2 linked regions of the Pelodiscus sinensis genome follow. The protein of the gene in region 1 interacts with the protein of each later gene in a pairwise test. Links are inferred from orthologs where the notes say so. Each region holds a gene or a part of one and is shown on either strand. Other genes may lie near its edges. The genes, in order: MORN4 and RANBP3.

Region 1 (11,504 bases):
ACTGGTTCTTTAAGGGCTTGGCACCAGGGGCCTGCGAGTGTAGGGTGGGACAGTCCAGCCCCGGGCACCTTACACCTGTGGGCCTGTCCCTGCCTGTGCACCGGCTCACCTTCCTTCCACTCCCCGCAGTACTCCTCCCCGCTGGAGTAGCTGAAGGAGCCCTTGGTCAAGGTCATGGTGCCAGCTCCAGGGAGGGTGAGACAGCACCTGCAAGGGAGGGCAGGTGAGACCCCCAGCAGGCTGGGGCTGAGAACGCACGTGGCTGGCTGAGGCTGCCGAGCTCTGGCCAGCCCCCTGCTCCAGCGCCTGCCCCCAGCCAGGCTGCATTCTGTGTGTCACTGTCCCAAAGCGCCCCATCTCCGGCTCCCCCCGCCATGCCAAGGCCTAGCACCCGCCGCCACTTCCCCATCCCTTTGGAGCTGACCCCAGCGCCTCTCTGAGCCTGGCACTAGGGCCCCGCCAGCAGGGCTGCCCCACGGCACAGCCCCTGCCGGTGGGTGACACTGCACCACCCCATCCATACTGCAGCCAGGCCAGAGGGGACGAGCCCTGGGACTGCCTGGGCTCGGAGCAGACAGGGAACCCGGCAGGGGGGCTGATGGGGCATCTGCCCTGCACTGGCCTTTTAAGGGTTAAAGCTCAGAGCAGAGACAGCCAATCAGGGCCCAGCTGGGCCTGTATAAATACGGGCTCCTGGCAGAGGAACAGAGACTCTTGGTCTGGCTGGGGAGCAGGAGGGACCTGGCTGCCAGAGGAGCTGGAGGCTGCCTGAGCAGGGGCACGGTAGCAGGCCCACCCCCTAGCCAATGCTGAGTGGCCATGGGTTGCCCTGAGACAGGGGCTAGCTGATGCTTGGCCGTGGGTCACAAAGGCAAGGGGGGTACAGGAGACTGGGGGTTCCCTGGGAGGGGAGGACCCCAGAGGGCAGGGGCACTGACCTAGGACAGTATGGGGGAAAGGGAAGGGACACGGGGTTGAAGGGAAATATGACCTGCCAGAGGCTGGGATAGCACCCAGCAGGGGGCGCTCTGAGGTAGAAGTGCAGATTTCTGAGTGACCCGCTGGAGGTGCTGTGTGTGTGTGTGTGGGGGGGGGGGGGGGGTGGGGAGGTTGCACGGTTGATCCCTGTGACTATCTGGGCCCTGAGCAGACAATAAACCCGGGAGGGGGTGGGGGGAGCCCTGAGCCTGTCCAGGCCCTGAGCAGACAGAGAACCGGGGTGGGGGGGGGGAGAGCCCTGTGCTCAAATACTGGACTGTCCGGTTCAAAACTGGACACCTGGCAACCTTATTTCTGCTGAATCTTGTTAAAAGCCAGTAACAGGAGACTGCTGCTTGGCTCCTTCCCCAGACAGTCCTGAGCTGCACGGGAGGGAACTCGCAGCCCCTTCCATAGCGCCGGAGCTACCTGCACTAGCCTGAGATGCCACAGGACTGCCCGCTGTCTGTTAAGCTCCAGACCACAGAACCCACCCCTGGGAGCCGGCTCGTGCCAAGCTACCAGCGGATCAGTTCTCCAGCCTTACCCCAGACTCCTCCCGCCCCTGGGGAGAATCTCACCGGCTCAGAGGTCGGCAGCTAACCCGGGGGTATCTCAAAGGCCGGGGGGGGGGGGGGCGGATGCTGGAGAGGAGACTAACAGCTGGGCAGACACCTGCCAGGAAAGGTGCACTTGACTAGGAGCTGGGCAGCACGGGGTTAGCAGCCAGGGCCTGGCACTGGGGGGGAGGCTGCGGGGGCTCAGCCCTTGCATCACAGATTGCATTTGCCACTTTGACTCTGTGCGTCATGGGACAGGGCTAACCGTGGCCACGCCAGGGCTATGGCAGGTCACTTAACCCTCTGGACCTGGTTGTGGGAGATGGCTGGAGGCAGCGGCAGGCTGAGGGAGAGCACTCCCTGGATTCACTAGCTCCTGGCAGGCTCAGGGCCCAGTCACCCCCTGGCTGTCCCTGAGCCTCTCTCAGCAAGGGGGTATCTTAGGCTGCTGCTGGGGCTCCCGCCCAGACTGCCTGCAGGAGGAGGGGAGGGCTTGCTCAGGCCTTGGGCAGGAGGGCACAGACTATGGCTCCCATCCTGGGCGGAGCCATTCTGGGATCAGAGCAGACTCTGGGAAATGCTTGAGGCCCACACCGGAGCCCCTCAGGTAGCAGTGGCCAGGCTGGGTGGCCCACAGGCGCTGGCACCTGCAGCTGGTCGAGTCACTGATGCCTGTGCCCTTGGTCTCATCAGCCCACAGATAGACACACATCAAGCCCAAGAGGGCCACACTTGGAGGGCCAGGATCGCTGCTTAGCCAGAGCTCTGGGCTCTGCTCCCTCCAGGCTGAGGGTCAAAGCCGCCTCCCAGCTCTAGCTCAAAGTGCTCTGCAGGGGCAAGGGCAGGCATCGGGTGGGTCCTGACACTGTCCCCTAGACAACCCAGCTCGGCAGTGGCTCCCCCGTGCCTGTCTCACCGAACCACAATTCCAGGACACAGGAAGTGCCACTAGCCCTCTAGTCCAACACAGCCCTGGAGCCCGCGAGCAAGAGCCATGCTCGGCCTGTAAAGGCCCCAGGGAAAGCTGGGGCTGCAGCGCAGCACAGCGCCAGCCTGGCATGCGGCTCCCACGAGCCATGCTGCCCCGAACATGCTGCCCCTGCAGGCCTGATGGCGCACGTCAAAAGGCCACTTGGCTTCCTGAAGAGGGAATGTGCCAGCGTCCAAGTGGGGGACTGTCTGGGTTTTCCAAGGGTTTGCCTGCAGAGGGGGTGGCTGCAGAGAGAGGAGCCTGTGACCTGCCCCGCTGGTCCCAGCCAGGGGAAACAGGAGAGGGGAGAAGAGGGGTCCAGGTGACCCTGGTTATCTGGCCAGCAGACAAAGGCCAGGGGAGAAGCTGCGGGAGAGGGATACTGGAGGCTCGGTTGGGAGGAGGGGGCTCGTGGACTGGGCAGGGGGAGCAGGCAGAGCCCCCCTGTCGTGCTTGAGAGCCTAGGCCCTGAGAGTCCCTAGGATGGGTTCAACGTGGGGACATGCGGAGAACCCAAGTGGTAGGTATCACACAAGTTCAGAGAATCCAAGTCCAGTCCCCTGCCTTCATGGCAGGACGGACCCAGCAGCATCGTGGTCCAAAGCTGGGGGAGAGGAAGTCATGGAGGAGAGAACCTGAGCTGCCCGGATTGTCCTGCTTCCCACAGGGAGGGGCCTGCCTCTCTAGCAGCAATTCCATCAAGTGCTGCGCTGCAGCCCCAGCTTTCCCTGGGGCCTTTACAGGCCGGGCATGGCTCTTGCTCGCGGGGTGTGATGGCAGGTCAAAAAGCTGCTCTGTGGCATGTAGCTTTCATTGTGTGTGTGGCAGCCACTGTCTAATGCCGGGGTGGGAAATCTAAGGCCCAGGGGCCAGATGTGGCCCCTGAGGCTCAGGGCTCCCCATCCAACTATTGGGGAGCCCACGGTGGCTCTCCAGCTCTTCCTCCATTCCCCCCCCCCCACGGCGCTGGAGCACATTAAATCTACTAGCCTCCACCCCCCTAGGCTCTGGTGTATGAGGGGCACGTGGGGAGTGTCTGGTCTTTCTCCTCAGGCAGAGGCCATGTCAGTGAAGTCTTGTGGGTTTTGTTTTTGTTTCTCACCTGTGTGCAGCCCCTGATTTTTCTGTGGGTCAGTGGCCCCCAACCCCAAAAAAGTTCTCCAGCCCTGGTCTAATGGGCGCACCAGTCCTTCCAGGGCAACCCACTCCCTCCACCTGCTACAACTGACCTCAGAGACACTCCCTGCTGTGGTACACAAGAGGGACAGTGGCACAAGAACTCGGCCAGCAATGCAGACCAAGCAGCCCCTGCTCCCCCTCAGAACCTGCCCCACAGCAGCCAGTGACTCCAGCACTGAGTGGAGCTAGGTAGCAGCAGCCACCGCCATGGGAACCAACCCCAAGATGCCCCTGCCGGGACAGTCCAGAGAGGAGCAAATTAATGCACCCCATGAGCATCTGGGAAAGGGTCACTCAGGTGAACCCCACATAAATTACCCCCTGCACCTCACACTCCAGTACCCCAACCCTCCTCCACCCCCCGACTCCCCACTCCTGTACCCCACCTTTCCTCCCCTGACCCCCCACTCCAGTACCACACCCCTCCTCCACCCCCCTGACCCCCACTCCTGTACCCCACCCCCTGACCCCCCCACTCCTGTACCCCACCCCTCCTCCACCCCCCTGACCCCCCCACTCCTGTACCCCACCCCTCCTCCACCCCCACTCCTGTACCCCACCCCTCCTCCACCCCCCGACCTCCCACTCCTGTACCCCACCTTTCCTCCGCTGACCCCCCCACTCCTGTACCCCACCCCTCCTCCACCCCCACTCCTATACCCCACCCCTCCTCCACCTCCCTGACCCCCCCACTCCTGTACCCCAACCCTCCTCCACCCCCCGACTCCCCACTCCTGTACCCCACCTTTCCTCCCCTGACCCCCCACTCCAGTACCACACCCCTCCTCCACCCCCCTGACCCCCACTCCTGTACCCCACCCCCTGACCCCCCCACTCCTGTACCCCACCCCTCCTCCACCCCCCTGACCCCCCCACTCCTGTACCCCACCCCTCCTCCACCCCCACTCCTGTACCCCACCCCTCCTCCACCCCCCTGACCTCCCACTCCTGTACCCCACCTTTCCTCCCCTGACCCCCCCACTCCTGTACCCCACCCCTCCTCCACCCCCACTCCTATACCCCACCCCTCCTCCACCTCCCTGACCCCCCCACTCCTGTACCCCACCCCCCTCCACCCCCTGGGCCCCCCACACCTGTACCCCACCCCCCTCCACCCCCTGGGCCCCCCACTCCTGTACCCCACCCCCCTCCACCCCCTGGGCCCCCCACACCTGTACCCCACCCCCCTCCACGCCCCTGGGCCCCCCACTCCTGTACCCCACCCCCCTCCACCTCCCTGGGCCCCCCACCCCCGAGCCCCCCGCCCCATACACCGGGCCCCTCACCGGGACTCGCGCTCCCCCGCGGGGGCCCCGTCTCCATGGACAGCCGCCGGCGCGCTGAGGGCCCGGCTGCCCCTTCCCCGCCCCGCCCAGCTGGGCAGCGACACCAGACTGCATCCCCACGTGTCATTGGCTGTTACCATGACAACCCGTAGCAACACGGCTTCCCATTGGCCAGTGTCGCAGGGCCTGTCACCGGCTGCTCTCTTTATGCGGGACAAAGCTTCTACCCAGGAAGCGTCATCGCTGGGCGCGGCAGAGACCGCCCCCGACCGCCATGTTTTTGCGGGGCGCTCCGCGTTATTCCGGGGCGGCCATGTTTGTGCGGGGCAGCGGCCGCACTGCTGTCGTAGCTCTTTGCGCACCGCCCCATCCTCCCCTCCGTCTCGCGCCTGTGACGTGTCCCCGCTGCTGCCACCTATTGGCCCACCCCGGACTGCCCTCAGCCCCGCCCAGGCGCCTGCTCACAGCCCGCCCCCAGCCAGAGCTCTGACGCGCCGGCATAGTGGGCCTCGCGACTGGTGTGGGGGCGTGGCCAAAGCGGGCAGGGGGAGGAGTTACAGGAAGATCTGTGGCAAGCTCCCCCCCTTAGTGCTCTGACTGGTTCTGGGGGCGTGGCTAGAGCACTCAGCAGTGGGTGTGGTTAGCACTGTGAGTAATTCTTGGAGGGGCGTGGCTAGAGCGATGAGCGGGAGGAGCTAAAGGAAGGGTGAGACCAGAGCTCTTGTCGGGGAGGGGCGTGGCCAGGTCACTCATTGGGCGGGGCCGGGTAGGGGGCGGGTGGGGGCGTGGCCAGAGCGCTCGGGGCGGAAGGCGGGGGCGGGGCCAGCGCTCGGGGCGGAAGGCGGGGGCGGGGCCAGCGCGCTCGAGGCGGAAGGCGGGGGCGGGGCCAGCGCTCGGGGCGGAAGGGGGGCGGGGCCAGCGCGCTCGGGGGCGGAGCGGAAGGCGGGGGCGGGGCCAGCGCGGTCGGGGCGGAAGGCGGGGGCGGGGCCAGAGCGCTCGGGGCGGAAGGGGCGGGGCCAGCGCTCGGGGCGGAAGGCGGGGGCGGGGCCAGCGCTCGGGGCGGAAGGCGGGGGCGGGGCCAGCGCGCTCGGGGCGGAAGGCGGGGGCGTGGCCAGAGCGCTCGGGGCGGAAGGGGGCGGGGCCAGCGCTCTCGGGGGCGGGGCGGAAGGCGGGGGCGGAGCCAGTGCGCCGAGTGCCGGCCCGGTGGCGGGGCGGGGCCGGGCGGTCAGCTGACGGGCCGCAGAGCCGGGCGGCCATGGACGAGAGCAGCCCGCTGGTGTCCCCGCAGCGGGCCCCGGCCGCCGCCTACGGGCTGCCCGCGGGCCCGGGCGCTGCGGTGCGCGCCGCCCCCTCCCCGCCCGGCTCCCCGCGCGCCCGGGACCGCGAGCGGCAGCCGCTGCTGGAGCGGGGCGCGGGCCGGGGCGCGGGGGCGGCGCAGGCGGCGGCGCAGGCCCAGCGCGAGCGCAACGACTTCCCCGAGGACCCCGAGTTCGCCGAGGTGGTGCGGCTGGCGGAGGCGGCGAGCGAGCGCGGCATCTTCCCCGAGCGCATCTCCCAGGGCTCCAGCGGCAGCTACTTCGTCAAGGACCCGCAGGGGGTGAGCGGCGCCCCGGGGGGGGGGGGAGCTGCGGGCCCGGGGCTGCCCGGGGGGGGGGGGCTGCGGGCCCGGGGCTGCCCGGGGGGGGGGGCTGCGGGCCCGGGAGGGGGGGGGCTGCGGGCCCGGGGCTGCCCGGGGGGGGGGGGGGCTGCGGGCCCGGGAGGGGGGGGGCTGCGGGCCCGGGGCTGCCCGGGGGGGGGGGGGGGCTGCGGGCCCGGGGCTGCCCGGGGGGGGGGGGGCTGCGGGCCCGGGGCTGCCCGGGGGCCGTGCCTGGCTGACCCCCGGCCCCGTCTGGGAGCGAGTGGCACCCTGAGTGTGCTGGTAAGCTGCTTCCCCGGCTCTGGGCCTGGTGCAGGCCAGGGCTGCGGGTGGGGTGCCCGGGGAGAGGGGCTCTGGCTGGGGTGAGCCTCCCGCTGGCATGTGTCAGAGCTATGGGCGTCCGGGGTGTTGGCTGTGCACAGGGCGGCAGGTCCCGTCTCCCTGGGAAGGCTGTGAGTGCAGGAGATGGGCGTCCTTGCGTAAGGTGCCGGCTGCAGGTCGGTGCCTGGACTGCTCTGGGGAGCCCCCGAGGCCAGCAGCTGGCCTGCCAAGACCTGCTGGACTGGCCACAGTTCAGCCCTGTAGCAGGCAGTGGCTGGAGGGTGTTGCCATTACCCTGGTTGGGACGGAGCAGCCCGGTGCGCTGCCCCATCCATGCAGTGCCCGGGCTCACCGGAAGGGTTAGCCGATGGATTGAACAGGATTTTACACCCCTAGAGCCCGAGCGGCGGGTGCAGCCTACCCAGGTGTGACTGGGCGGTGCTGTCGCCCGCGGACAGGCCTAGCGGAGGTGCCAGTGGATGGGCGTCTGGCGCTGCACACAGCTGGGGTCTGTGCTGGGAGTGTGGGGTTTGCTAGAGTCGGGGGGGCAGTGACTCGGCTCAGCTCTGCCTGGCTCCCAGGCTCTGCAAGCGCATGGTCCTTGCCTGGTCCCCACGCGCCCGTTGGCCTGGGCCTGCGTCCCAGCTAGGGATGGGAGCGGGTATCTCCCTAATCGCTTCTTCATAGAACCGTTATCAGCTACACGAGTAGTGGGAAGGGAGGGCGCTCGGGCCGGGTTCCAGCTGCTGCAGAGGCACAGCGGGGGGTGGTCCTGGCTCACGCCAGCTCCAGCAGCCCCTGTCCGTGGGGGTCCCGGTGGGGAGCTGTGACCCCCTCCCCGCAGACAGGGGTTGATAGAGGCAGCAGCGTGGGGGGGGAGCAGGTGGCCCCATGGAGATGGTGCTGGGAGGAACCAGGTTTTAAGCCTGCCCCCCCCCCGCTGCCTCTGATCCGGTTCAGCAAGGGGGGTGCAATGCGAGTCGCTGCGTCGTCCCTCGGGTTACCCGCTGGCTGATGGTTCGCTTACATCCCTAGTCCAGCTGCTGCCCCCCTCCCCCGGCCCTGCTGGACACCCCGCCCCCTGCCTGCGCCGGGCCACGGGGTGAGCAGAGCCAGGCGGGTCCTTGTGGAGCTGCATTCTCCACGGCGCTGGGCGCGGGCCGTGTGCCTGCCTTGTGACTCCCTGCTAACCCGATTAGCCTCGCTGCTGCTCAGGGGCTGGCTCTGGTAGTGCTGGGTCCACCCCAGCACGGGCCAGCTGGGATTCTGGCTACTGGGTCTGGCACCAGCAGGGTCCTGGTGCGTGGGTGGCCCTGCCCCTGGCGGAGGGGAGGCAGCAGAACCAGCAGGCGACGTCCGGCCAACCTGGTTCTCGGCAGAAGGGAGCTGTGGGTGGAAGGGGTAGGGGCCAGGGATGGGGTTTCTCTTGGCATGGTAGCCTGCCCACCTCCGCCCAGGGAGCTCCCTTAGCCTCCGCCTCTGGGGGCGGTGGGCTGGGATGTGGTGCAGGAGACGGCAGAGGCCACTGCCCCCGGGCCGAGTAGCTGTGAGACGTGTGCGGTGTGGGGCCGGTGGGTCCTGGTTCTTTAGCCCCCTTTGCCCGCTGGGGGAATCTGTCCTCCTTGCTGCTTTCCTGGCTCCCCACGCACTTGGCGAACAAGGTCCCTGGGACAGGTGGGACCTCCCTGGGCTGCTGGGGCCCCAGGGGGGCTGCCGTTGTGGGCAGCAGCCGGCAGGAGAAGTGGGGCATTCGACTGCCCTCAGAGCAGGGGGCTGGGATTGTTCCCTCCAATGTTTTGCATCTGAGCGGGATACATTTTGTTCTGTGCACCGAGGCGCGTGTGGCCGTGCACCACCAGCAGTAACACAGGCTGCCGGCTGGGGGCGCTCTGCTCAGCAGCTGGTCGGCGCCTGAGTCTCCTGGGTGAACGCTGGGTTCCACGCATGTGGGCTCCTCTACTGGGTGCTGGTGGGCTCTGGCTCATCCTGCCGCTGGGCAGCCCTCCCCTCCCAGAGCTGCTGCCCAGGCGCGGCGGGGCTGGCTGAGCTGTGGATCAGCTGGGGGAGGCTCAAACTCCCTGGTACCCGAGTCTGGGTCTGCGTGTACCAGGCCAGGAGATGGCGGGCGGGAGGGAGGGGCTGGCGGGGGCTAGGAGGGGCTGGGCTGGCGATGGCTCTGGGCGGGCTGGCGGGGGCTAGGAGGGGCTGGGCTGGCGACGGCTCTGGGCGGGCTGGCGGGTGCTAGGAGGGGCTGGGCGGGCTGGCGACAGCTCTGGGCGGGCTGGCGGGGGCTAGGAGGGGCTGGGCGGGCTGGCGATGGCTCTGGGCGGGCTGGCGGGGGCTAGGAGGGGCTGGGCGGGCTGGCGGCGGCTCTGGGCGGGCTGGCGGGGGCTAGGAGGGGCTGGGCGGGCTGGCGGCGGCGCTGGGCGGGCTGGCGGGGGCTAGGAGGGGCTGGGCAGGCTGGCGGGGGCTAGGAGGGGCTGGGCGGGCTGGCGGCGGCACTGGGCGGGCTGGCGGGGGCTAGGAGGGGCTGGGCGGGCTGGCGGCGGCGCTGGGCGGGCTGGCGGGGGCTAGGAGGAGCTGGGCGGGCTGGCGGCGGCGCTGGGCGGGCTGGCGGGGGCTAGGAGGAGCTGGGCGGGCTGGCGGGGGCTAGGAGGAGCTGGGCGGGCTGGCGGCGGCTCTGGGCGGGCTGGTGGGGGCTAGGAGGAGCTGGGCGGGCTGGCGGCGGCGTTGGGCTGGCTGGTGGGGGCTAGGAGGGGCTGGGCGGGCTGGTGGCGGCGTTGGGCTGGCTGGCGGGGGCTAGGAGGGGCTGGGCGGGCTGGCGGCGGCGTTGGGCTGGCTGGCGGGGGCTAGGAGGGCCTGGGCGGGCTGGCGGCGGCGTTGGGCTGGCTGGTGGGGGCTAGGAGGGGCTGGGCGGGCTGGTGGCGGCGTTGGGCTGGCTGGCGGGGGCTAGGAGGGGCTGGGCGGGCTGGCGGCGGCGTTGGGCTGGCTGGCGGGGGCTAGGAGGGGCTGGGCGGGCTGGCGGCGGCGCTGGGCGGGCTGGCGGGGGCTAGGAGGGGCTGGGCGGGCTGGCGGCGGCGCTGGGCGGGCTGGCGGGTGCTAGGAGGGGCTGGGCGGGCTGGCGGGTGCTAGGAGGGGCTGGGCGGGCTGGCGGCGGCGCTGGGCGGGCTGGCGGGGGCTAGGAGGGGCTGGGCGGGCTGGCGGCGGCGCTGGGCGGGCTGGCGGGTGTTAGGAGGGGCTGGGCGGGCTGGCGGGTGCTAGGAGGGGCTGGGCGGGCTGGCGGCGGTGCTGGGCGGGCTGGCGGGTGCTAGGAGGGGCTGGGCGGGCTGGCGGCGGCGCTGGGCGGGCTGGCGGGTGCTAGGAGGGGCTGGCGGGGGCTAGGAGGGGCTGGGCGGGCTGGCGGCGGCTCTGGGCGGGCTGGCGGGGGCTAGGAGGGGCTGCCTGGCCCAGCCCCCGCCAACTGCCCCCGTCCGCAGAGGATCATCGGCGTGTTCAAGCCCAAGAACGAGGAGCCCTACGGGCAGCTGAACCCCAAGTGGACCAAGTGGCTGCAGAAGCTTTGCTGCCCGTGCTGCTTCGGCAGGGACTGCCTGGTGCTCAACCAGGGCTACCTCTCCGAGGCCGGCGCCAGCCTGGTGGACCAGAAGCTGGAGCTCAACATTGTCCCCCGCACCAAGGTGAGTGGCTGGCGGCTGCTCTGCCCCGCCCCCATGCCATGTGACCGCCCCCTCTCCAGGGGGCGGGGCCAGGACAACTCTGCCCTTCCCCCACCGAGGCGAGCCAGGGACCCCCGTGTCTGGGGACGCGGCCCCAGGTCTCCGATCTCCCGGCTCTTGGCTGTCACGGGGTTGTGCTCTCCGTGCTCCATGGCAGGAAGTGGGGGGGGGGGGGCTGAGCTGGGGGTCCCCGACCTGCTGCAGTTGCCCCCTGTGACGGCGCGTCGGGGAGCCTCCACCCTGCACCCCCGGCCGCAGCCGGATGTGACTCCGCCAGCCCGTAGAGTAAACTTGGGTTTATTGCTTCTCCGAGGCAGCGCAGCGCAGGCCCGACATGGGCCTAGGCCCGGCCGACAGCCCTGGTTCCCTGGGGGGTCACAGGCCCCTGAGCCCCCTGTACTGGACTTCGACTGCCCAGCTCCCAGCCCTGCCCCCAGCCAGGTGTCCGTCTCCGTCTCCCCCCGGGAAGAGCCTTGTTACCCGCCCAGGCTGGGACTGGGTGTCTGGGCCCATCCACGTGGGTGAGTCGGTGGGGATCAGACAGCGCAGCCGGGTGGGGACACCGGGTTACAGAGCAGACAGCCCCCCGCCACACCCCCACTAGTCCCTGAGGCTCTGGCCCCTTCCTCCTGTGGAATTTGGAGGCACGTGCTCCCCTAGGGCCCCAGGTCTCACCCTGCCGGGGCCAGCTGCTCTCAGCCTGTGCGCTCCCCCAGGTGGTGTACCTGGCCAGCGAGACCTTCAACTACAGCGCCATTGACCGGGTGAAGTCCCGAGGGAAGAGGCTGGCCCTGGAGAAGGTGCCCAAGGTCGGGCAACGGTTCAACCGCATCGGCCTGCCGCTAAAGGTAGGGGCTG
Region 2 (11,679 bases), on another chromosome or scaffold:
TCGCCGCTTCATTTTACTATGTCGGGTAGCCTAATCTACATGCCTCTGGCGACAGAGGCATGTAGTCTAGACGTACCCAGAATGTAGAAAATTGTGTCTGCTGCTGGTGCATATCTATTCTCTCTGCTCTAGTGCACAGCGATGGTGGAGTGCTGTGCTGGAGGAAGGAGGGCACAAGAGACATAACAGGCAGGCAGGAGAAAAGGTGGCATGAGGGCATCATTTGAGCTCCCTGCCTCAGGTGCCAAAATGGCTGGAAACAGGACCTAAGAAGAACAATTGGCAGTGGCCTGAAATTAACAGGGGACAAGAGTAGGCTAGATGGACCAAAGTTGGAAAGTGTCTGTTTGGAGGGGCTGGGTCAAAGGGTTTGTAACTATTAGAAAACACTCCCCTAAGAACCTGGAATATACACTGGGATTTCTAACTATCACCATTTCTTCACATTCAGCAAATATCTATGGGCATGTCTACACTAGGAAACTATTTAGAAATAATAAAAATTGATTTAATAACTCCTGAAATAACAGCATTGAATAGCGTGTCCCCATTATGGGGAAGCCTTGAAATTAGTCCGAGGCAGGCTCCATTAATGTGGACGTGCTATCTCAACTTAGAGCCCCAGGAAGCACTGGGGAGCAATTACTTCAACTTACTCTGGGGAATAGTTATTTCAAAATAGCAGCAGCAGGGCATCCACAATAACACTATTTCAAAATAACTATTTTGAAATTAGCATTATTCCCTGAAGAAAGCAGGAGTACAGATTTTGAAATAACCAGCCCATTATATCAAAATAATTATATTCTTTCAACATAAGCAGGGTTATTTTGAAATAACTCTCTAGTGTAGACCAGGGCTATGAAACTCACAGACAAAGTGTGTGCCTCATCTCTCTTTCTGTTCCATGTAGAGGATGACAAACTACTACTGCTATCAGTTACTCAAATGGCAGAGGAGTGCTGTGAATCTAAAAGTTCCAGCCCTGTTGATGTCAGTATGTTTTCAAATGATAGAATTTATGTGATTTCAGTTTGCTTTTTCAAAAACCAAAAAAATTACATTGCGTCACAAACTGCATTAAAAGAATGTTGAGGTTGCACCCGTCTTCTTCACCCCACAAATCTGATTCATTCTCTAAGTGCCATCCACCCTGAAAAAGGCAGGGGTCCTGTCAAAAATAGCAAGCATGTGATTGTATAACTATAGATTTCATCATGGTACATCATGGTTCATCCTGGTGCAAGGAGAACAAATTAAAATTTCATGGGCAGTCATAATTCTGGCATTTTCTAACTTTAAAGTGTTTGACTTTGTAACCAAAATAACTTTCTCTGAATGTAGGATTTTAATGTGATTTCCTATGTAGTTTAAAGGAGAAAAATCCTATTTTGTATATTAACCACTATACCCTGTACCATCAGCAGGATTTAAAATCTGAATGTTCAGCACAGGCAAATACCACTTGAGCTACAGGTAGGCAAATACCACTTGAGCTGCCAGATACTTTCACAAAAAAGTGGCCTTCTGTCTGAGAAAAACAGGCTGCAAATACTGCACTGTCCAGGCCAATACTGGACACCTGGCAACCCTAGCTACAGTGCCAACTACTTCAGCTGCTGTCAGATAAATGCTGTTTCCTAAAGGGGTGAGGTTGGGTGAGATGGACCATTTGTTCAGCATGGACTACTCTGGATCCATGTGCCAGGCCTGAAGCAAAGAAGCCTGGCATAAGGGATGTCAGGTCCCTTGAAACCCTCTGCTGGTGGCCTTGCAGACCTACCACATGCCATACCAGAAAAGGAGCAGTAAAGGCGAGTCTTCCAGGTCTGCTGAGAAAGGCTGCAGGGAACCAGCTAATCAAAGTGCAGCAGACTCAGTTAAAAAGTGATCAGATGATTGAGCTAGTCACTTTCTGTCTCGGACCAGAAGTATAAGGAAGGGTGCTCCTTGCTGATGCTCAGGGGAGAGCCAGGAGACGGGCTCTAGTGACACTGGCATTTCATGAGGAAGAAGAAAAGTTGAGAACGTCAGCCCTGAAGTGAGGGTGAAGAGGAAGAGGCTACATGGGATGTGGCCCAGGGAATAGCAACAAGAAGCAACTATTAAAGGAAGCAAGATGTGATTTCTACTTGTAGAGTCCCTGGGTTGGGAGTAGTGGGTGTGTCTGGATTCCCTCACAGGCGTGGTGAAGTGGCCTATGTCCTGAGGAGAAGATAAAGCTTGATTAGAGGCTCAAGTGAAAGTATTTAAGGGACACCAGAGAACAGCTAAAGGCTAAGATCTCCAGGGAGGAAGTCCTGAGTGTGCTGGTTTATAATGTGGTAGGGATAGATTTAAAGCCAGTCCAGAAGGGGCTAAGAACCTAACCCAGGGTAGAATAACAGTTCCAACAAGGGCATTATGATAGGCGTTGTTGAACCTTTGCTACTCTGGAAGGGAGTCATCCATTTTAGACTATGTGTGTCAGCCAAAGGAAAGAGCCCCTGAAGATTCACCTGATGAGGGCAACAACTGATAGAGCAGGGCTACTCAACTTTGGAAGCTCCAAGGGTCACAATGATACTCACAGAACATGCCGAAGGCCGCAACTTAAGTGTGGTTGCATATTTCGCATTGACAGGCATGAATACAAAGGTCAAGGCAAGATTGCACAAAACACAGGCCCCATTTAAGTCAGTTCTGCTGATATTAATAAAATGCAATATTTACCCGATTTCCATCCATATGACAGCTAGGGTTGCCAGATGGTTTAACCAAAAATACAGACCCCCGCTCTCCCCCAAAAAAACACCGGGAAAAAAATTCTGTTGAGAAAATAAAAGGACAGCAGTTATTAAAAAATAAAAATCAGCATGGCCCATTTAAGAAGAGGCTTTTTTGCCGGTGGCCATTTTGTTTTTCTGCCAGGCACAAGACAAGCCCCTGCAGAACCAGGTAAGTGGGGGAGCCTGGCAGAAGGGAGGCGGGGGGCTGGGCCCAATTGCTGAGTGAGTTGCCAGGTGTCCGGTATTTTCGCCTCCTGGCAGGGAAATGTTTTTTTAGGTGTTTGGTATTTTCTGAATTTTTTTACCGGACAGGAGGTGAAAATACCAGACTGTCTGGATCAATACCGGACACCTGGCAACTCTAATGACAGTATTTTAAATTCCTGGACTGTCATTGCTCATTAAACTACTAAAACACATATCAACAGAAGACCATTATATTGCCTACTTTCTTGTTTTGGCTCCCACCCGCGGGCCACATGTTAAATCCCCGCTTCATTAGCAATTGCAATACGTCTAATTTACATCCCTTTTCCGAAAAAGGGATGTAGTCTAGACGTAGCCACAGGCTGTGGGCCACATGAAGAGCCCTATAATAGAGGATACTTTGAGCACAGAAATAGTGAGGGTTCACATCCATCCAACAGGGGGTGCTCACAAGAGGTTAGTGTGCCCCATCAGAAAGCCCATTCTCCTTCTGTTCATCCTACCACTGCTCTGGGAGTACCCATGTATTCCCACTGTAGTGGCTCCTGTTGCTATTAGTCTAATAGTGGTGTGAGTCTGGCCTAGAATGTGTGCTTAGCTGCTATTTTGACAGGCTGACAAATTTCCCTGAGGAACAGGAGGGAAAGAAAATGGTGATTTCATTGTGTATCTCAGCAATACCTGATATTTGTTCTCCCTGCCAAATACCTGCTGCAAACAATGGAAGTGAAGAACAGATCACAAAAATTCTTCATAATGGAAAGTGTCAGCTTCCCCAACCCCTATAATACAGTAAACTTCCAATAATCTGGCACCTTTAGGACCCAAGGGGTGCCGGATTATCAAATATGCTGGACTATCAGAAGGGGGGGGGGGCATAAGGGGTCTGGGGCGGAGTGTGGGGGATGTGCCCCTCGGCGCTGCAGGACCAACCCAGCAGCACCCCAGCTGCTCTGCCCCAGGTGTCCCCAAGTCAGCCGCTGCTGAAACTGACCAGTGACTGACTCGAGGAAGCCCGGGGCAGAGCAGCTGGGGTACTGCCGGGTTGGTCCCGCAGCGCCGAGGGGTGGTGCTAGGGGACCAACCCGGCAGCACCCCAGCTGCTCTGCCCCCGGCGTCCCCAAGTCAGATGCTGCTGAAACTGACCAGCAGCTGACTCCGGGAAGCCTGGGGTAGAGCTGCTCTGCCTCCGGCTTCCTGGAGTCAGCCGCTGGTCAATTTCAGCAGCGGCTGAATCAGGGAAGCCGGGGGCAGAGCAGCTCCAATTGTCCGGCTGCCCTGAGCACTTCTGGGTTCCAGATGGTGCCAGACCATCAGGAGTGTGGGACCATTGGATGCTGGACCACTGGAGTTTTACTGTAGTTAAATTTTGTGTGAATTTAGAACCAAATAATCTTCCCAGCTCCTAACCTGATACCTCTGTTGTGGGATAGGGATGATCAGAGGACAAATGGGAGAGAAAGCCTCCTTTTCAGGCCACTGGTCTGACCAGTAGCTTTGTAGTTACTCATTCAAAGAGTTGGAACAGTCTCTATGGCTGTTGCTCACCCCTTTTATGGAGAAGACAAACTTCTGTCTAGTTCAAACCTTCCACTAGCTGTAACAGAAGCACTGTTTCAACAAGGACATCAAAGTTTGTACCAAGGATATTTAATTCCTTGAAACGTGACCTCCTGAAATCTCATCCCCGTACTGCTGAGTTCAGTGAACCTTGGGGGGGATAGATATTTGGCTATGTGTGTGTGTGTTCCCTCTGTGTGCCATCTCAGCTCTGTACAGACAATTGGAACATAGGCCAGGATTATTGTTAATGAAGCACAATAATAGCATTTGGCAGACTCTACGGCTGTGTCTACACTGGCATCCCTTTCCAGAAAAGGGATGCTAATGAGACACTTCGGAATTGCAAATCCGCGGGGTTTTTGCCGGAGAAAAGCGCCAGTGTAGACGCGATTTTCCGGAAAATAAGCCCTTTTCCGGGATATCCCTTATTCCTACTTTCAAGGAATTCAAGGACTGAGGCGGCGGAAAGGGGGCTGTGGAGGAGGGTGGCGGTGATGGACTGAGGCGGCGGGAAGGGGGCTGTGGAGGAGGGTGGCGGTGATGGACTGAGGCGGCGGGAAGGGGGCTGTGGAGGAGGGTGTCGGTGATGGACTGAGGCGGCGGGAAGGGGGCTGTGGAGGAGGGTGGCGGTGAAGGACTGAGGCGGCGGGAAGGGGGCTGTGGAGGAGGGTGGCGGTGAAGGGCTGAGGCGGCGGGAAGGGGGCTGTGGAGGAGGGTGGGGGTGAAGGACTGAGGGGGCGGGAAGGGGGCTGTGGAGGAGGGTGGGGGTGAAGGACTGAGGGGGCGGGAAGGGGGCTGTGGAGGAGGGTGGCGGTGAAGGGCTGAGGCGGCGGGAAGGGGGCTGTGGAGGAGGGTGGGGGTGAAGGACTGAGGGGGCGGGAAGGGGGCTGTGGAGGAGGGTGGGGGTGAAGGACTGAGGGGGCGGGAAGGGGGCTGTGGAGGAGGGTGGCGGTGAAGGGCTGAGGCGGCGGGAAGGGGGCTGTGGAGGAGGGTGGGGGTGAAGGACTGAGGGGGCGGGAAGGGGGCTGTGAAGGAGGGTGGGGGTGAAGGACTGAGGGGGCGGGAAGGGGGCTGTGGAGGAGGGTGTCGGTGATGGACTGAGGCGACGGGAAGGGGGCTGTGGAGCAGGGTGTCGGTGATGGACTGAGGCGGCGGGAAGGGGGCAGTTGAGGGGGGTGGCGGTGAAGGACTGAGGGGGCTGGAAGGGGGTAGTTGAGGAGGGTGGCGGTGATGGACTGAGGGGGTGGGAAGGGGGCTGTGGAGGAGGGTGGCGGTGATGGACTGAGGGGGTGGGAAGGGGGCTGTGGAGGAGGGTGGCGGTGAAGGACTGAGGGGGCTGGAAGGGGGCAGTTGAGGGGGGTGGCGGTGATGGACTGAGGCGGCGGGAAGGGGGCAGTTGAGGGGGGTGGCGGTGATGGACTGAGGTGGCGGGAAGGGGGCAGTTGAGGGGGGTGGCGGTGAAGGGCTGAGGCGGCGGGAAGGGGGCAGTTGAGGGGGGTGGCGGTGAAGGGCTGAGGCGGCGGGAAGGGGGCTGTGGAGGAGGGTGGCGGTGAAGGACTGAGGGGGGTGGGGGGTGGGAACGAGGCAGTAAGGGCTGACAGGTCTGGAGCCGGGTGCTCACACCCCTGAGCCACCGCCCCCAACCTCCCGACGCGGGGGGAAGGGACAATGCTTTGTTGTCACAGGTGGGTTTTATGAAATGTGGCGCGTGCAGTTGTGCGCATGCCCCGTGAGGCTCCTGCAGCGCTGACTCCGCTCCCCTCACCCAAGAGGCTCTGCTAGTCCTGCAACGGGCGGAGCGGGTGGGTTTGGCGCAGGCGCACTGTTTGTCTAACCGCGAGCGGCGGAACGAAGCCTTTGCTTTTAGCGCATGCGTACTAAACCCTGTGAGGCGGAAGGGAGTTAAAAAAAAAAAAAGAAACGTTCTTCGGAGCATGCGCAGTCTCTCCCGCTTGACGGCGGGAGAGCCCCTCCCTTGCGGGACACTGCGCGCATGCGCCGCCGCGCTGTGTCTGTTGTAAATCGGAGGCCGGCCGGCCGCGCGATGCACTGTGGGAGTGATTGAGGAAGTAAAATGGCGGATTTAGCGAACGAAGGTAGGGGGGGATGTGGCCGTTATCGCGGTTGTGCGGAGGCGGGGTTTGGGCCGCGGGCCGAAGCAGGCCTGGCATTCGCCTCAGGAAGAGCTCCACGGGCCCCGTAGGGGAGTTGCTCCTCCCTGCCGCCTGCCTCAGTGCCGGCCACCGCAGGGGAACGGACTGGACAAAGGGAGAGGCTGGGCCTAAGTGGGGCCGTCTTGTTTCCCCGCCCCCCAGTCCGGGGGGAGCCGACCGACACCCGCCCTGCAGCGAGCACCTTGGGGGGCATCGGCGTGAGCATGGGGGTGACGGAAGTGGGGCTGGGCGTGGGCCCGGGCCTGTCGGTGCAGGCTGTGCGGGCCAGGCGCTAAGAGAGAGGCGTGTGTTATTTATTACTGCCCAGCGTCAGGAGCAAAGCTACTCCTTTCCTGCTGCAGCCTTCAGCGTGGGACAGAACCGCATCCCTTTGTAAAAACAGGGAGGAGTCCTGTGACACCTTAAAGACTAACAGATTTATTTGGGTATAAGCACTTGTGGTCAAGGGCCCCCTTCCTCAAGCTGCATGTCTTTGCCCAGAAAAGCTTATGCCTGAGCAAACCGGTTCATCTTTAAATTATCACAGGGCTCCTTGTTTTTTGTGGATACAGACTAACACAGCTACTCCTCTGATTCCTGTCAAATCCTTTTCTAGTGAGCCTATCTAGCTTGGCAGGTACATACCCTGTGTGTGTTCCGAATGTGAACAGAGCATCCCTCTATGTTCCCATTAGTCACCTTATTTTGTTCATGGTGAAAAACTGTGAGGCAATGGTGGCAAAGGAAGAGACCTGTGGGAGCTGCCTCTTGTTTAATTATCACTTGAACCCCAAAATGTGAAAAGCAAGCTCAGTATTTCTCTTTCCTGTTTGGGGCTAGGTGCCTCCTTATATGTCACCCCTTTTTATGCAGTGTTCAGGTAGCATGTCCCTTCTTGGCATGCCTATTTAAGGGAGCTGTAAAATTCCCATTGTTAATGCTGTGTATTTATGTCTAGCAGTTGGCTAAGAATATGCCTTGCAAGATTAGAGAAAATTTAGGTATCTTTTGTATAGCCATAATTTTGTGAGGGCAGGGAAATTGGTTTTATTAATTCTTCCTTGGGAGCTTTAAGAGAGAATGGCATACCATGTAGAGGTCCTAGGCTTTATCTACACTGGCACTTACCCAAATGACACAAGTTTTCCAATAAATGTGGAAAACCTTGCCCCCTAACACCCAAACAAAAATGTGGAAAACCTTGCCTTCCACCACCCAAACAAAAAACAATTAATTGATGAAAAGTGTCTGCTTGCATAGTGCTTTGTTCAGTGGGACCTTTGCTTGTTGGAGGTGGTTTTACTTTGTCACTGGAAAACATCTCTCCCAGCAGTAAAGAGTGGCCACTCAGTGCACCTTATAACTATGCAGATTCAGCACTGCTATAAGGTGTGTTGTGTAGACATAGTTTTAATGTGTATCTCCCAAGTGGAAGATAGACAGAAAACTTTCATAACATGAAAGAGTTGGGGCTCTTGTACATTTGAAAAGCAGAATCGCAGCAGAAGCAGCGCTAGTAGAGAATGCTTCAGTCCCTGCTTGCACCATTGCCAGTGTGCTTTTATCTCCCCTGTCCCCCTCAGAGATGGTGCTGGGGGAAACTGGCTTTCACGCTGGCTTCCCCCCAACATCATCTCCTGCTTCCCCCCCTTGCTGCCTGCCTCTGATAGAGGCTGCAACAAAGTCATTCTCTTATCCTGTCACATTCTCCTTGCATCCTTTCATTGGCTTCCTCTTCTCTGTTGCCTCAAACAAAATTTACTTATGTTTACCTTCAAGGCCCTTCATGGTGTGTTCCCACCACACCAGTCATCTCACATTGACTGACATGTAGATTTACACTTTTGATTAGCCATGATGCCAGCCTCCATCACACACTCATTAAAAGATTAAAATAAGACCTTTGTGCCTTCTTCCATACTTTTCCTCATGCTCAGAGGAACTCCTTGTAAATATGCGCTAAGTTATCCCATTAATCTCATTCAGAATTCTCTTTGAGATTCTCCTTTCAGTGTACAAAACTTTTGACATCTTTTAGGCCGCTGAGAGGCCTGAGGCAACTGCCTATCGTGTCCAATTTTGCCTTGCAGTTTCCTTGCACCCCTCTGTCTATATCTATTTTGGCTTATCTTATACTTAGGTTGTAAGTTCTTTAGGGGTAGGGTCTGTTGTTTTGTTTTGTATTTATTCAGTGCCTAATATAATGGGGTTTTCTTCCATGACTATTGCTTCTAGGTACTACCATAATGTCTCTTTTTTGAGATAACTGGATTAGTCCTCATCAACACTTATTTTCATGAATTCTCCTCTAACAAACTTTCCAGATTGATTTGTATGAAGATGCTTGTGATAGGAAGCAGTATAGCTTTCCATGGTACTTTATAACTACGTCCCTTTATTTTAAATTTAAATTGAGTTTTACTAAACTCTCCTGCATTTTATAAAAACTATTAATTTTTTCCAATTTTCACCCTGCTTTTGTATTCTTGGAAATAAATTGCATGAATATATCTATTATGATAATATGCAGGGCTTGACAAATCTGTGTATCTACTCGCCCATGGCGAGTAGATTACAGTGGTCGCCCCGTTCACTGGTGGTGCGCGCATGTGCAGTGCAGGTCTGGCGCATGTGCGGGGCTGGTGAGTGGATTTTGCTGTGGTTTGTCGAGCCCTGATAATACGTTAGTTATAACTACTCGAGAGAGATCTTGGAGTCATTGTGCATAGTTCTCTGAAAACTTCCACTCAATGTGCAGTGGCAGTCAAAAAAGCAAACACAATGTTAAGAATAATTAAAAAAGGAATAAAGAATGAGCCAGATAATATCTTATTGCCTCTGTATAAAACCATGGTACGCCCACATCTTGAATACTGTGTACAGATGTGGTTGCCTCATCTCAAAAAGGATATATTGGCATTGGAAAATGTTCAGAAAAAGGCAACAGAAATGATTAGGGGTTTGGAACGGGTCACATGAAGAGAGAGAGGATGGCAAATAGGATGTTAGGAATTATTAAGGAAGGGATAGAAAATAAGACACAGAATATCTTACTGCCCCTGTATAAAACTATGGTACGCCCACATCTTGAATACTGTGTACAGATGTAGTCATCTCATCTCAAAAAAGATATTTTGGCCTTAGAAAGGGTTCAAAAAATGGCAACTAAAATGATTAGGGGTTGGAACGGGTCCCATATGAAGAAAGGTTAAAGAGACTGGGACTTTTCAGTTTAGAAAAGAGGCGACTAAGGGGGGATATGATAGAGGTATATCAAATCATGAGTGGTGTGGAGAGGGTGAATAAAGAAAAGTTATAAGTTCCCATAATAGAAGAACTAGAGGACACCAAATGAAATTAATGGGTAGCAGGTTTAAAACTAATAAAAGAAAGTTCTTCTTCACACAGCGTGTAGTCAATCTGTGGAACTCCTTGCCAGAGGAGGCTATGAAGGCTAGGACTATAATAGAGTTTAAAGAGAAGCTAGATAATTTCATGGAGGTTAGATCCATAAAAGGCTATTAGCCAGGGGATAGAAATGGTGTTCCTGGCCTCTGTTTGTCAGAGGCTGGAGAAGGATGGCAGGAGACAAATCGCTTGATCATTGTCTTTGGTCCGCCCCCTCTGGGGCACCTGGTGCTGGCCACTGTCAGCAGACAGGCTACTGGGCTAGATGGACCTTTGGTCTGACCCAGTACGGCCATTCTTATGAGATTAAAGAGACTGGGACTTCTCAGCTTAGAAAAGAGGAGACTAAGCGGGTGGGGGAGATATGATAGAGGTCTATAAAATCATGACTGTTGTGCACAAAAGTGAATAAGGAAAAATTATTTGTTCCCATAATAGAAGAACTAGAGGTTACCAAATGAAATTAATAGGTAGCAGGTTTAAAACAAACAAAAGAAAGTTTTTCTTCATGCAGCATGTGATGAACCTGTGGAACTCCTTGCCAGAGGATGTTGTGAAGACCAGGAATTTAACAGGGTTCTAAAAAGACCTAGATGAATTAATGGAAGTTAGGTCTTTAAATGGCTATTGGCTAGGATGGGTAGCAATGGTGTCCCTAGCCTCTGTTTGTCAAAGACTGGAAATGGATGACAGGAGAGGGACCACATGATGATTCTCTGTTCACTCCCTCTGGGGCATCTGGCATTGGCCACTGATGGCAGACAGGGTACGGGGCTAGATGGATCTTTGGTCTGACCTTGTATGGCCATTCTTATGTATGTCTGTATGTAAATGCAAAGCTATTTGAAGTAACAGTATGTATTAACCTAGAACAGGAGTAGACAAAATATGGCCTCTGGGTCAGATCTGGCCTGCCAAACCACCAGATACAGCCTGTGGCCCAGCAGGAGTACCAAGCAGGCTTCTTGCCTTTCCTGCTCTGCACATGGCTCAGAGCTGCTGGCTGTAGGAGCCATATGTTTTCTGCATGCGGGGAATTGGGAAAGGCGGTCTCCCCAACACAATATTGCAGCTCCATTGGTTGGAAATCAGCCAGTGAAAGCTCCCTGGACTGTGCGTGAGGCATTCTTTGTGCACAGAGAACATGTAATACCCACAGCTGGCTGCTTTAAGCAATGTGTGGAGTGTGTACGGCAAGGAGCCGGCCTGAGAGTCCTGCTGGGCTGCTGGCCAGGAGCTGCCTAGGTAAGCACCTCCTGGCCAGAACCTGTTTCTGGCACCCCAGCCCCTCCCTGTCCTCAACCCTCTGCTCCACCTCATGTACTTCTGCCCCAGATCAGTCCAAAGCTTTTTCACCCCTATTCCTGCATCCATCACCTCTCCCAGACTCTGCACTCCAATCCTTTGCCCCAGGTCAGGATCCTCTCCTGCACCCATTCCCCCTCATGGATCCTGTCCACCACTCCCCTGCTCCATGTCACAATCCCATCATAGACCCTGCAACCCTCCTACTCTCCCCTTCTAGGTCAGAATCCTTTCCTGCACTCATACCCCCATTGGACTCTGTACTCCAATTGCCT

Evidence for each region.
Region 2: the proteins of MORN4 (region 1) and RANBP3 interact in a two-hybrid assay, tested with the Homo sapiens proteins (2 studies listed by BioGRID). The two-hybrid records come from large-scale screens. The link is inferred for Pelodiscus sinensis from reciprocal best matches to the Homo sapiens genes MORN4 and RANBP3.

Annotation. Positions count from the first base shown.
Region 1 is NW_027465990.1:7,404-18,907, reverse strand, and holds the start of MORN4 (MORN repeat-containing protein 4), read right to left. Parts: upstream 5,105-11,504; 5' UTR 4,974-5,104; intron 208-4,973; 5' UTR 177-207; coding exon 110-176; intron 1-109. Other genes in the region: PI4K2A (phosphatidylinositol 4-kinase type 2-alpha), read left to right, coding at 6,229-6,570, 10,407-10,607, 11,363-11,494. UniProt on the Homo sapiens protein: Plays a role in promoting axonal degeneration following neuronal injury by toxic insult or trauma.
Region 2 is NC_134729.1:21,069,575-21,081,253, reverse strand, and holds the start of RANBP3 (ran-binding protein 3), read left to right. Parts: upstream 1-6,311; 5' UTR 6,312-6,612; coding exon 6,613-6,634; intron 6,635-11,679. UniProt on the Homo sapiens protein: Acts as a cofactor for XPO1/CRM1-mediated nuclear export, perhaps as export complex scaffolding protein. Bound to XPO1/CRM1, stabilizes the XPO1/CRM1-cargo interaction. In the absence of Ran-bound GTP prevents binding of XPO1/CRM1 to the nuclear pore complex.